Linked DNA regions of Nothobranchius furzeri. The protein of the gene in region 1 purifies or fractionates together with the protein of each later gene. This does not show direct contact. Links are inferred from orthologs where the notes say so. Each region holds a gene or a part of one and is shown in the gene's direction. Other genes may lie near its edges.

What was found. Proteins that work in one complex are often made in the same cells at the same time.
Region 2: the proteins of wasf2 (region 1) and cyfip2 purify together in Homo sapiens (co-immunoprecipitation; 3 studies listed by BioGRID and IntAct, with this or other methods). This does not show direct contact. The link is inferred for Nothobranchius furzeri from reciprocal best matches to the Homo sapiens genes WASF2 and CYFIP2.
Region 3: the proteins of wasf2 (region 1) and brk1 purify together in Homo sapiens (co-immunoprecipitation; 3 studies listed by BioGRID and IntAct, with this or other methods). This does not show direct contact. The link is inferred for Nothobranchius furzeri from reciprocal best matches to the Homo sapiens genes WASF2 and BRK1.

Annotation. Positions count from the first base shown.
Region 1 is NC_091759.1:21,196,269-21,201,045, forward strand, and holds part of wasf2 (actin-binding protein WASF2), read left to right. Parts: intron 1-711; coding exon 712-867; intron 868-2,739; coding exon 2,740-3,233; intron 3,234-4,320; coding exon 4,321-4,478; 3' UTR 4,479-4,777. UniProt on the Homo sapiens protein: Downstream effector molecule involved in the transmission of signals from tyrosine kinase receptors and small GTPases to the actin cytoskeleton. Promotes formation of actin filaments. Part of the WAVE complex that regulates lamellipodia formation.
Region 2 is NC_091742.1:50,767,804-50,773,085, reverse strand, and holds the start of cyfip2 (cytoplasmic FMR1-interacting protein 2), read left to right. Parts: upstream 1-1,637; 5' UTR 1,638-1,829; intron 1,830-5,282. UniProt on the Homo sapiens protein: Involved in T-cell adhesion and p53/TP53-dependent induction of apoptosis. Does not bind RNA. As component of the WAVE1 complex, required for BDNF-NTRK2 endocytic trafficking and signaling from early endosomes.
Region 3 is NC_091743.1:65,723,572-65,727,778, reverse strand, and holds brk1 (probable protein BRICK1), read left to right. Parts: upstream 1-1,696; 5' UTR 1,697-1,753; coding exon 1,754-1,871; intron 1,872-2,243; coding exon 2,244-2,326; intron 2,327-2,396; coding exon 2,397-2,423; 3' UTR 2,424-2,862; downstream 2,863-4,207. UniProt on the Homo sapiens protein: Involved in regulation of actin and microtubule organization. Part of a WAVE complex that activates the Arp2/3 complex. As component of the WAVE1 complex, required for BDNF-NTRK2 endocytic trafficking and signaling from early endosomes.

The DNA of each region.
Region 1 (4,777 bases):
AGCTGGACTTTGGAAAAAAAGACTCCTAGTTTACAAAAGCAAAGGTTCAGATCAGGAGCCCACGTGATGTCTTCTCCCCGTCCTTATCAGCCCATCTGTACACAGTGATGTGGGTGGTACGTGCTGTCTGGGAATGTCCTCGGGGGTGGGGTGTAGGGACACACTGCAGTAAACAACTGCAACCATAACATCCCTTATGTTTGATTTGATTTTAGCCGATGACCTGAAAGGGTTAAATTCAGTCATTCAACAAGTTTTACGATAAAAATATTTAAAATATTCTCCTGTTTGCTGTTGTTTGACCTTTCCACCTGTTTTTAGGGCCTTTTTATTTTGGTAAGAGGCCCTGGAACCCCCTCCCCCAAGGCGCTTCACAACACAATCACTCACCCATTCACTCTTACACCCACACCCTGGTGGTGAGGAGCTACGATGTAGCCACAGCTGCCCTGGGGCGCTGACGGAGGCGAGGCTGCCGAGCACTGGCGCCACCAGTCCCTCTGACCACCACCAGCAGGCTAGGTGGGTTAAGCGTCTTGCCCAAGGACACAACGACAGCTACAGGCTGAGTGGGGCTTGAACCTGCAACCTTCCGATTACGGGGCGAGCGCTTAACTCCTGTGCCGCCGTCGCCCATTCGTTTATTTTAAATAAATGAAACCTCAGCGTTGATATTTCATCATTAAGCTAATGTCTTCTGTCTGCTTTAAGGAACTCTGAGGGTCGGAACGGCAGCATCGGATCAGGAGAAGGTTTTAATTCTGATCCCCTTGATCAGAGTACGAACTCCTACGCCTACGAGCCTGGCTCCCCTCCACCTGCGGGCAGTCCTGAAGAATTCCTGCCTCCTCCACCCGTAGACGCACCGTAAGTACTGTTAGCATGATTGGCCCTGCTAGCGAATCACGAACACACATGTACGTGGTCGTATATGTTCAAGCGACTGTACGTCTAGACAATCGTACGTGTACGTCTAGGCCAGGGGTCACCGACCTGGTGCCCTCAGGCCTGTTCTAAAAATAGCACAATTTACCGTTCAGAAAAATGTAAAAATATTATTTTCTGTGGCTGTTTTTAAAATCACATTTTATGTGATTATAAACGTGGACGGCTTACAGAATTGTGGGAACTGCAGAGGAACAAAGCTAATGGGTTCTACAGTGAAACTCTGGGAAGGAGTGGTAGAAGCTAGGCTAGACTTGAGAAGTGAGCATTTGTGAGCAGCAGAACAGTGGGATGCCAAGAGTGTTCTACAGATGCTACCTTAGCTTCAAAGATGCCAAAGGAGAAGTACAGAGAAGGTTATGATGGTGCTGAGATGCATGAGGAGGTCTGGAGTAACCAAAAAGTATTAGAGTGGTAAAGAACGTGTGTGAGAGCTGGAGTTCCAGAGGAGTTCAGGGTGGAGGTGAGATGGGATCAAGGATCTGCTCTGAGCCCCTTGTTTGCTTTGGTGATGGACAAGCTGAAGATGTTACACAGGAGTCTTCATGGACTTTGATGTTTGCAGACAGTGATATGCTGTGAGAGCATGGTGCAGGTAGAAGAAGAGCTAGAGAGGTGTAGATGTGCACTGGAGAAGAAAGGAACGAACGAAGACACCATCCATGTGTGTAAATGAGAGGGGACAGTTGAAGTGGAACAGTGATGTTACAGCGAGTAGAAGTAAAGAAGGTGGAGGACTTTATGGACTTGGGGTTTATGGTCCAAAGCAACAGAGAAGGTGGAAAGAGGCGAAGAGGCGGGTGAAGCAGGGTGGAGTCGGTGAATGTCAGATGTGTGTGGAAAAAGGGTTTCAGCAAAAAGGAAAGGAAATGTGTGGAAGACAGAAGTGAGAGAAGCCATGCCGGATGGTCCTTGAGGACAACATAACGGGAGGTTCCAAAGCTCAAGATGTTGAGGTTCTCTTTGGGAGTGAGGAGGATGGATAGGATCAGGAACGAGTCTATTAGAGGGACAGCTGTTAGATGTTTTGGAGATAAAGTCAGAGAGGACAGACTGAGATGGTTTGGACATGTCAGGACAGGAGATCTATGAATGTGCTGAAAGAGGACATGAAGTTAGTTGGTAGAGGATGCAGAAGACCTGACTGAATGGAGACAGATGATTGGCTGTAGTGACTTCTGAAGGGACAAGCCCAAATAGACTTTTTTAACCTCAGTTGCACCGATATATTGTAAAAAAAAAAACCTTAAAATATATTTATTATACATGAAGTGTAGTTAAACTCAAATCTATTCTAGTTCAAAGGTCAGTATTGTGCACGTGACAAAACCTTGTCAACCCAGTAGCCCTTCATGTGACTCGGTAATCGTGAAGTGGCTCTCAGCCTCACAAAGGTGGCTGACCCCTGCTCTAGGCGGTCGTACATCTAGGTGGCTGTGTTTACAGTTATTTGTCTAGGCAGTTCTACAGCTGCACGGTTTTAGTCTAGGTGGTCATACGTCCACTCGGTGGTAACGTATAGGCGTTCGTACGCCTGTGCGGTCACATGGCTACGTAGTCGTACTGCGCTGCGACACGGCTACTCTGCGACACGGCCACTCTGGGACACGGCTATGCGGCGACTCGGCCACTCTGGGACACGCAGCCACTCTGAGACACGGCTATGCGGCGACACGGCCATTCTGGGACTCGGCCACTCTGGGACACGGCTACGCGGCGACACATCTCCAGAGGAACATCTGTAGTTGGAGAAGCTTCTTCTGTATTAACGCTTCTGTTCATCTTTACTTGCAGGTTTGGTGATGGAGCTCCGGCCCAGAGGTGGAGCGGCATGAGTCCCACCCACCCTCCTCCCGCTCCACCTTCTCTCTCCTCTCCTGTATCTAACTTCCGTCCAAGCCTCTCCCCTCCCCCTGCACCTCCTCCCCCGCCGCCACCCTCTGGTTTTGATGCACCCCCACCTCCACCTGGCTTTGATGCTCCCCCTCCTCCTCCTCCTCCACTCGCTCCTACCAACTCTTATCCGTCTCCCCCTGTTCCTCCTCCCCCACCCGATATGTCCTTTATCTCTTCTCCCCCGCCACCTGTCCTTTCAGGTGGTGGAGGTCCACCACCTCCTCCTCCACCTCCTCCACCCCCAGGGCCTCCTCCTCCTCCATCTGTTGGAATCTCTGCTCCTCCTCCTCCCCCCTCCTCTGGTGGAGGCGTGGCTCCCAGCTCTGCTCCTAAACCTCAGCCAGCTGCTGCTGGCGATTCTCGTAGCGACCTGCTGCAGGCCATCAGAAGCGGTAAGACCTACCTAGAGGGAGGCAGTGCCCCTCACTGCTGACTGAGTGGAGATGATTAAACCTCCAGTAGACACAAACCAACTTATTAATTTTAGGGGTTTAAATTTAATGCGTTAATTATGATTAGAGAAGATAACGGAAGCTGAGCCTAGCGAGACAGACAAGCATTTATCTTGTATCTCTCATCAGAACTTCCCCTGAACTCTACGCTACACCTCTATATTCATTAGCAGGGCTCTCCTGCCACCTAGTGCTCAGTTCAGTACACTGCATTCACGATGTTCCATGTCTATTTACACTTCATCAGTAACACATAACCTAATATTTACACATCCCAACAAATCCCACAGTGTTTTTCTTTATAATGAGACTATAGTAATCAAATAGATCTTGTAATTATAGAAATATACTCCGAACATCATTTTTAATTAAAAAAAATGGCTTGGGGGGAAAATTATCTTGATCGATTAATCAAGATTAATTAATTACGAAGCCTCTGAATATTTAAAATAATTTTTAATCAAGTCCCACTCCTAATTTATTTGTTCACCAACAACAACACTGTATAGTTTTGGGCCAGGTTTTAATAAGAGGGAGTTAGAAAAAACAACAAAATCTCACACAACTAACCCCTTTGTGGTCGGATTCTGCTGACTGAGTAGGGACGATTGTGATTGATTGAAGGACACGCAGTGATCCACGTCAGATCAGAACGCGTCGAGTTCTTAAACCTGTGATATCGTAGCGAGATCTGCGATGTGACCGTAACACACACGTATATCATGCAGCTCTTCTAACATTGAACTTCTCCGCTCGGTGCGTCACAGAGGGAGAATGTTTGAACGTGTACGTTATATGACGTAAGAGCTTGCCACACGGGCAGCACTCTGCTCCTAGCAGCTGCAGCAGACCAACCAGGATGTTGTACTCTGATTATTAAAGACAAATGTTGTTTTTCTGTTGCAGCTGTTAGGAAGTAAATAAACCAGGTGTGTGCTTCTAGACGCGTTTTCAGCATGCTCTGCTGAAGAGGGCGTTTCTCTCAAGCCACGGCTTTTTTAACTTCACACTTTTTCTTTTAACGTAGGTTTTAATCTGCGTAAGGTGGAAGCGCAGCGAGAGCAGGAGAAGAGGGACACGACCGGCAACGACGTGGCCGCCATTTTGTCCCGTCGCATCGCCGTGGAGTGCAGCGACAGCGAGGACGACTCTTCGGAGTTCGGCGACGACGACTGGTCCGATTGATCGCCGTCACCGCCACCATCTTACCTTAGCCTTGACCAACATCTGTGCATTCCCATTACAGTCTTCAAGTACGTTTTTTTATAAAGAGGATTTATCCTGTGGCGTTTTAAAAATCACATTCCTCCACCGATACGTTTTCCAGTCCGGAGTTTGTGAACGAGGGCGGCTGCTTGTGTCCCGGTTTGATGTTTCTGTGTTGATCCAACAGTATTCTGTGATTTAAACACATCAACTCCACCTTCATCAGGATTTTATTGACTAATATGAGTTAACTTTGAGATTATGCAACAGATTCTGAG
Region 2 (5,282 bases), on another chromosome or scaffold:
ACACGTGTGTGTACACACACACACACACACACACACACACACACATATATATATATATATGTGTATATATATATATATATGTATATATGTATGTATGTATGTATGTATGTATGTATGTATGTATGTATATAAGTCTATTTATCAGACACAGGTGACATCAAGATTTATAGAATAAAATAGAACCATAAAATGATAAATTAATCATTTAGTTATTTTTACTCATTCCAGTTAAGTTGTGGTTTATTAATTTATGTATGTTAGGCTACTATAAAAGGAAATAGTTCAGGTTAATTATAAATTTTGAGTTCTATTTAATACAAGGAAAAGGCTGAACTAATTCAACACATTTGAGTTCTAAAATATTTGATTATTTTCAACATTTTGGGTTTACAGAGTGCAGAAAGATGAGGGCGCACAAAAAAATAAAAATAAAAAATACAACTGAACCAAAATATCACTGTCCCAAACATGCTGAGGCTATATAAAGCTTGAGGCACACCGTAGGCGGACGATCAGTGTTGCTCCTGCGATTTTGAGAACAAGATTTTGTCACACAGGAAATGCCACTGAGCACTTCTGGAAAGTCGTGCGATAGTCACAACATCACGCGGGACTTGAGAACAGGAAGCGGGAAGTGACTCTATTGTTTATACTTGATCAGACTTACCATAGCATTTTGTGAGACTCAAATTTTTTAAAAGTGGGAAAGTATACTATTTATTAAAATACATGAACATCAATAGTACTTTAAAGTTATCAAAAGTGCGGTTGGGTTTGTTCTGCGTCGTAATGTCTACTGTAAAGTACTCCACAATGTTGTAAAGCTGCGGTGGCGCTGCGCGGCTGCGCCTGAGATGAAACTGGTGCCTATCTTGTTTTATCTCCGGTTCTATTCTTCTTCAGCCAACACGTCGGACATGTTCAGAAGAAGAACCGGAGATAAAACAAGTTCTGGTTTGGAGCAAGAGTTTATAAAGAAGTTAGCGAGATCCAGCATTTATTTTGGTAACCAACTTCTGCTTATTGGCAAGCAAATTTGTACATTAGCTAAATGATTAAGTACCAGCTAAATATTTATTTTTCACAATGTTATTTAGCTCCACACTATATTTTATATTTTTTGAGTCAGACTTAAATATTTATTTCTCAAATACTGATTTTGCAAACTAAATGTTTAGCTCCAAAATAAATATTTAGCTGGGATCTAAATATTTATTTAGGAAAATAAATATTTAATTTACAAATCAAATATTTAGTTCCAAAATAAATATTGAATTAGTAAATTAAATATTTAGTTAGTGAATTAAATATTTATTTTACAAACTAAATATTTAGATCTGACCTAAATATTTAGTTTGCAAAATAAATATTTAACTACAAATTAAATATTTAGCTTGCTAACTAAATATTTATTTGGAAACTTTAACATTTATAAACATGGTGAAAATACGACTTCAAAAAAGTGAACTCCCAATTTTTTCTCTTATGATATGCTAAATAACCAAAAGTATTGCTGTTAGATTACGACTGTTTGACTTCACAAATGGCACCCCAAAGTACAAGTGCCTGAGTAAGCTGTAAAAACGAGAGGGATCAACATGTCGACGGCGCCGAGCTGCGACTGTCCCTTTAAGAAAATGCACTTGCAGCCATTTTCTGCTCTTTGTGTGGAGCGGATTAGCACAGGGCTGGTACCGAGCGAAACTAGAGCATCAGTCGGTACGGAACACCCAGAAAACACCCAGGAACCACCGGAGAGCTGTCGCAGGACCGCGACACCGGCCACCCGTCTGCTTGTCGCCGGACTCCGCGGGACATGCGATTTTCGGGTAGGTGGAAACATGGATGCAGAGGAAGGAGAGAGGCTGGGGGTGATGATGTGAGCTGGGTAGTGATGATGGCTGGAGAGCGACCGGGAGAGCTGCTGCCGCTTTTCTCTCCCTCCGTCTCGCGCTTTTACATCTTTCCCGTCACCTGTGTGTTTGTGCATGAACGAGATTCCGGATGAAAAGATGAGCGGATGAATGTGACTGATGAATGGGAGTCCCGTTCGCCTCCATCGGTGCCGTGGCTCAGATGGGTGGGGTGAGGCTTCCCGAGCAGCAAGTGCACCGAGGAGTGATGGAGCACGTACACGTACAGATAACGGTTTCCCGAGCCGGTAACGTCTTTTACACAGATAAGGTAAAATATACACCCGAGTGAGTTTATGTTTAGGACTCCGAGAGCTCGATCACACATTTTACTCCCCCCTCCCCCCCTTTATTCTGTATCTACGGTGAGAAATGCCCTTCTCCACCCTAGAACCCCCCCGTAGTTGATGCATCCGACCAGCAGGCCACACGGTCCAGACCCATCACGGCCATCGCACCAGCAGCCTTCGGGCCTGGGTGATCACCATCCCCGGTTCACACGCTTCCGTCTCTGCATTCACACCGCTGCACACCTCTTTCCTGAAATCCGCCTCTCATCATGTGCTGTCAGCAAGTTGTAAACATGCAGCGATGCAGATTTTCCATGTAGTGGTGGAGAAAACCATTTTAACTGATCTAAAGTGGTTGCACTGGTTCAGACAAGACTGGGACTGGTGGGTTGTGTTCACCATTAGAGGCGCCTCTGGTATCACTGCTTCATCACAAGACAAACTGTTTAAAAATCATTATTTTTTATTGAAGTTTAGGTTAAAAGCAACACACATGAATGGAGTTGCTGTTTTTTGTTTTGTTTTCTAGAGAAGATGTCTACTGTTTGACAAAAAAAAGTAATCCCGTTGATTAATTGGCACATTTACAGAACAAAAGAGAAAATAATCACATTTATCTTTGGCTTCTTGTCGAGCTCTAAGGCCCGGTTCACACAGGAGGGTTTAAAATTGTGGGGTGATTTTTAAAAACGTGAGAGACCCCACACGAGGTGATGAAAAATCACCAAACAGTTTTGGTCCTGCAGTCCAGCAACATGGCTAAAACTACACACCGATTAGATGAGAAGTCTTGCTAAACCTATCTGTGGTGGAGGAGGAGCATGCTTTTGATGGACTTTCAACATGAAGCATGTTTGTTTGTCTTCGATGTTGGGCCGAGCCCAGATTTAAGATCGAAGCAGTCCCGATGTCCTTCTGAGAAGACCAGAGTGGCTGTAGCACCCCACACATGGCCAGAATCAGAGGTTGACTAATATTGTTTTTTGTATTGCTGATACCAATGCTTTGGTGGACACCAGCAGTTAAGGATGCTGCCAAGCTGAAGAAAGAGTCCTGTCAGGTCTTTTTGGCTTGTGGGACTCCAGAGGCAGCTGACGGGTACCGGTGGTCCAAGCAGAACGCGGCTCGGGTGGTCGCCAAGGTAAAAACCCGGGCATGGGAGGAGTTCGGTGAGACCATGGAGCAAGACTTTCGTACGGCTTCAAGGAGATTCTGGTCCACCATCCAGCGCCTCGGGGAGAAAGCAGTGTGCTACCAACACTATCTATAGTGGGGACGGTGTGCTGCTGACCTCTACTCAGGACTTGTGGATCGGTGGGCAGAATACTTTGAAGACCTCCTCAATCCCACCGACACGTCTTCCAGTGAGGAAGCAGAGTCTGGGGACTTGGAGTTGGGCTCTCAAATCTCTGGTGCTGAGGTCATGGTCAGTCGATGGCCGATTTGTGCAGCCGAAATTTTGGGCAGATTTTAGTGATGCACCGATATGAAAATTTTGAGCAGATGTGATATGTGATATTAATTTCACTGTTATGGACGATAACCGATATTTGCCAATACTGATATATTGACATAACTGCTTCAAAAATCAGGAGATTCGGTGGAGAATGAAAATTATTAAAGCTGAATTTACATCATTATGTACAAACACCTCACACATTTACGCTTCTGAGATGATTATCATCAATGTCACATGACTAAACAAGTACACATCAACCTCTGAAACAGAGAAACAAAAGGAAATGATGGGAAAAATATTTGTTGTTAATATTGACCCAGTTTTATTTATCGGACTGATGCCTATATATGAAAAAAGGTCTAACTTCGGCTGATACCGATATTGATGCCGATATATCGTGCATCCCTTGCAGATTTTCATGGCCGATATTTATCAATCAATCAATCAAAGCTTTATTTATAAAGCGCCTTCCGCAACCCTGTCAGGAAGCCCAAAGACATTTACCACCTTATTTTGATGCCAAAATGTCACTAATAACATTAGTTCATGCACAGATTTTCTGAAGCTGGATCCATTTTTTGAACACTTAATTTAACCAGCTGTTAAATCTTTGTTTTGTGCACTGATCAGTGTTAAAATCAATAAGGTTGCACCAATATGACATTTTGGGCCGATACTGATATCCTAAACTAATATTGGCTGATTAACGATATGTGCCGTTTAGGGTTGTCATGGTGTGAAAATTTAACCTCACGGTTATTGTGACCAAAATTATCACTGTTTTCGGTATTATCGCGGTATATTTTTTTTAAACGTGTTACATTTTCAGACAAGTACATAAACCCTAGCCTAGTGAACTAGACCAAATTCTTGCTTTGCAAAGAATGGTCTAGGCATGCTCCATTGGAACCTCAGCAGCTCCTACCAGGACTCTGGCTAGCCAATCACAGCTCTCTAGAGGGGTTTCAAACACATAAAGAGCTGTGATTGGTCCACAATGGTGGACCAATCATAGTGCTCTATCTGCTTAGTGAACAAATCACAGAGCTTTATCTGCTTTGTGGGCCAATCAGGGCCCTCTATATGCCTGGTGGGTGGGATGATGCAACAGAGTGAAACAAGAGTATGTCACATTCATTGTCCAGTGGAATGTGGAGATCATTTGAAAGACAACGGTAGAACCTGCCCCACAACCGAGAGCCGTCAATGGAGCATGGCCAGACTAAATAATACATTTATTTAGTCTGGCTTGCCAGGCTACATAAACCCCATATATCAGGAAAATATTGTCCTCAGTTTGTGTCAAAATTTAGCCTAAAATTTGTTATTTTGTAATTATATTGTTTATTTGTTTACATGTTTCCCCTTTAGTCTTTAAAATACCAATATTTGTCCATAACTTCTTATTTTTTGTCTGTTTGATGTCATCATTTTAAAAATATTAGATCAGATGATACTCAGGACTCAAGTAGCCTTCTAATCAGATACTTTTTTTACCCTTACTTGAGTAATAATCCCTATATCAGGAAAATATTGTCCTCGGTTTGTGTCCTTCCAGTGAGCTTTGCAGATGTGGGAAAATGTCATCAGGCAGTAATCATTAGGGCTGTCACGGTAACC
Region 3 (4,207 bases), on another chromosome or scaffold:
CTCCACACTTAAAGGGAAAGTCGTTCTCATTGAGAACGTGGCATCTCTCTGAGGAACAACAATCAGGGATTACACTCAGATGAACGAGCTTCATTCTCGCTATTCCGCAGAGGGACTCGTTATCCTGGGTGTGCCCTGCAATCAGTTTGGGCACCAGGTAAGTTCCAGTAGATATACGGAGAAACAAATAATGCACAGTACTTGTTTTTGTTACTTGTAGAAGGGTTAAGGAAAGTGAATTAGTAGAGTGGTTTAGAATCAAAGGTGCTTCCACATTTAAATTCATGCTACTTTAATGTATTTAAATATTTCGATTTGCACAATAGGAGAATGCCAAAAATGATGAGATCCTGAGATCCCTAAAGTATGTCCGCCCAGGGAATGGCTTTGAACCCAAGTTCCAGCTCCTGGAGAAGGTAGACGTCAATGGAAAAGCTGCTCATCCCTTGTTTGTGTACCTTAAGGAGACGCTCCCAACCCCCAGCGACAATGCCACGGCCCTCATGACCGATCCAAAGTTCATCATCTGGAGTCCTGTGTGCAGGACCGACATATCCTGGAATTTTGAGAAATTCCTGATCGGAGCTGATGGGGAGCCTTTCAAGCGCTACAGCAGAAACTTCCTCACCATAGATATTGAGGAAGATATTAAGGAGCTACTGAAAAGGAGGATCAAGTAAAATGTGCTACAACATTACTATTGCTGGCAGTGAAAGATATCTGTCGTGACCACACTGGCTTTGTAATGCTTATCTGTAGACCCAGGCGTTTCGGGTATTTCTTCTTGCTTTCCTGCTCACAGTTGAATTAATTGCCACAGTCCAAATATTGTGAAATTTTCAGTGGTATATACTTGGTTTTTCAACCCATTTACTTAATGATGAGGCTCCTGCAAACCTTTTTGTGTAGGGAGACTCTGATAAAGATGTAAATGTCTGTATTTACCCCTGACTGTACTGCAATTGGAATATTAGTTGAAAAAATGAAATAAACATCTTTTATCAAACACTTTTTAAAATTACATTTATAAAACGCACATATAAATCCTAGATTTTCTTTGGTGTCCGACAAATGTAGGCAACTATATCTTTATCTCATTTCAATTTTACTTTTTGGCATTTAAATAGAAGCATTTGCATTGAGGGTTTTTCTTTACATGATGCATCAAACCATAAAAACTACAGATTATTGAAAATTACTTCTGGAGAATAAAACATCTCCTATGATTGTTAGATTCAGAAGGTATTTTTAATGTTTCTTATTCTCACATTTATACAACGCTGCCACAAGGTGCTACCTTTAGGAGCCAATTGAGGTTCACTGGTCCCAAAACAAACCTGGGCTTATCACATGAGACACCTCAGCCACACGTTCGTAAAACCTTATGTGTGTTTGCATCATAGACAACAATGTGTAGTCTGTGGCGTATGCACATGTGCATAAAATAGTTAAATAACTTTAATAGATTAACTTTCTCAACTAGATTTTTTGTCTTTGTTTTTAGATGTTTTTTAAATATTTTTTCTGTCAAAACTATATATATATATGTATAAATTTCATTTTCTGGGTTTTTCTTTATATTCTAAATTTGAAAATTGACAAAATAATCTTCACTTTTACATACAGTGTTTGAACCGAGCGAAATAAAAAGCAATATTTTATTGATAATTATGAATCTCGCTAAATCTCGTGCCCAGTTTACGCCCGATGGCGCTTCCTGGATGAAAGCTTCTGCAACGACAAAACTGCTAACATGGCTGGCCAGGAAGACCCCGTTCAGAGGGAGATCCACCAAGACTGGGCGAATCGAGAGTACATAGAGGTCATAACAAGCAGCATCAAGAAAATCGCAGACTTTCTCAACTCGTTCGGTGAGCTTTTAGGAAAAGCTACAAAGGATTCGACCGCTGTGTTGTAGAAATATTTGAGCTGGAAGGTCGCGCTAGCTAGAGAAGCTAGCTGTCGGGCTGCTGCTAACACTGATGTTGATGTTTTTAAATGGCCACTCCCAGCTAGCTCGGACATTAGCACCGAGCTAATCGCTTTGTTTTAAAGGGTAATGATATTTCAAAGGAGAATTGCGTTTGCTTAGTTTATTATATTTATTAATTCAAGTGTCGAAGCTCTGCCACATCTTTAGGAACACAATAGCTACCAGTGAAGTTCATCTTCAATCAGTGCTCCCTACAGTTGTATCGTTGATATACCAAACTAACATTCAAAATAAATTTTAACCCAAACAGATATGTCTTGTCGGTCCCGCCTGGCCACTCTAAACGAGAAGTTGACAGCACTGGAAAGAAGGATCGAATATATAGAAGCAAGAGTAAGTAGAAGAATCACAGTTAGATGCATTGTTTTGAGTGATTTAATCAAGCAATTATATCTCTTTTCAGGTGACGAAAGGAGAAACCTTGACCTAGACTTCCATCATGAGGATCCTTAATATCTAACTACTTCCCCACCCTTTACCCTGAATTATTTTGGACTAAATGTGCTGGACTCCACTGTCCTGTTTTGGGGATTATGTGGACCATTTTTATATTATGTGACTGAGTTTTGTGTTTTTATCTCATGGCACATTTGTAAAATATATATAAAAACATGAAACAGATTCTGTATTAGTGGCACAAACACCATCATTAGATTTAAAATTGATCTCCATAAGTATTCAAAAGATATTCTGGGACTAAGTTGTGAATCTATTGTCAGCAGTATATATACAGTATGCCATTACTAAATCAGAGACATAAAGAGGGAACATTCATGTGTGCCAAGTTTAACATTGTCTAGTCTCCTTTATTTGCCTGTTTGGTAAGGTTTCAGACTTTAAATACTGAAATAAAAGCTATACGATGATAATACTTGATTTTCATCTTATTTTAAGTACTCCATTTGGTGTTTAAATTTAATTCAATGGCTAAGTGTGAACAAAAGCTACTAAAACATCTGTCAAGTAAACAAACATCAAAGATAGTTTGTTGCATAGATAAGTTAGATGCATTGGTTATGTGTATCGAAAAAGTCCACTTACATTAATGTGAACCAATATTAAGAAAAATAATTGAATATATCTATCCATTTTCATCCGGAGTCGGGTCGCGGGGGCAGTAGCCTAAGGCGAGAGGCCCAGACTTCCCTCTCCCCCAGCCAATTCGGCCAGCTCCTCCGGGGGAATTCCCAAGGCGTTTCCTGGCCAGGTGAGACATAGTCCCTCCAACGTGTTCTAGGTCTACCTTTAGGTCTCCTCCCGGTTGGACGTGCCCGGAAAACCTCAGCAGGGAGGCATCTTGACCAGATGCCCGAGCCACCTCAACTGGCTCCTCTCGATGTGGAGGAGCAGCGGGTATACTCAGAGCCCCTCCCGGATGACCAAGCTTCTCACCCTATCTCTAAGGGAGAGCCCAGCCACTTTGCGGAGAAAACTCATTTCAACCGCTTGTATCCGCGATCTTGTTCTTTCCGTCACTACCCAAAACTCATGACCATAGGTGAGGGTAGGAACGTAGATCATCTGGTAAATTGAGAGCTTTGCCTTCTGACAGCTCTCTCTTCACCACGACAGACCGGTACAACACTCGCATCACTGCAGATGCAGCACCAATCTGCCTATCTATCTCACACTCCAGTTTTCCCTCACTCGTGAACAAGACCATACACTTAAACTCCTCCATTTGGGGCAGGTCTCTCTCTCTCTCTCTCTCTCTCTCTCTCTCTCTCTCTCTCTCTCTCTCTCTCTCTCGACAGCTGTACATTTATGTGCGTTTAAGAGTAAATAAAGTAGTATTTATAGTATCTCATCGAAGTATGCTGTCTACCCTGTGTAAACTGACTGGGAACTATTTATTTGGTTAACCATAAACTATCGTGAAAACGTCGAGAAGTTAAAGACAAGTATCACCCAAAATTGCAAAATGGCGGATTTTGATAACTGGGTAAATTTTGCCCTGAAACTTACCGTTCAGGCATACTTCTGAAATTTCTTATCCAAGTTTAGATTAACATAAGGATAATTAATTAATGATATGCATAAAAACGTACTAAAATATTAATTTTACTCATGGCATAAATCATATCGAAGTCAACATCGAATTTGTTATTGTTGGAAACAAACCGACTGGAATTCAGGACTGCCTGTAAGGCAAACTCAGGGAATATTTTAACCCAATGAATGCCCACCCTGTTCTGCCCCCGATGCATTGTGGGA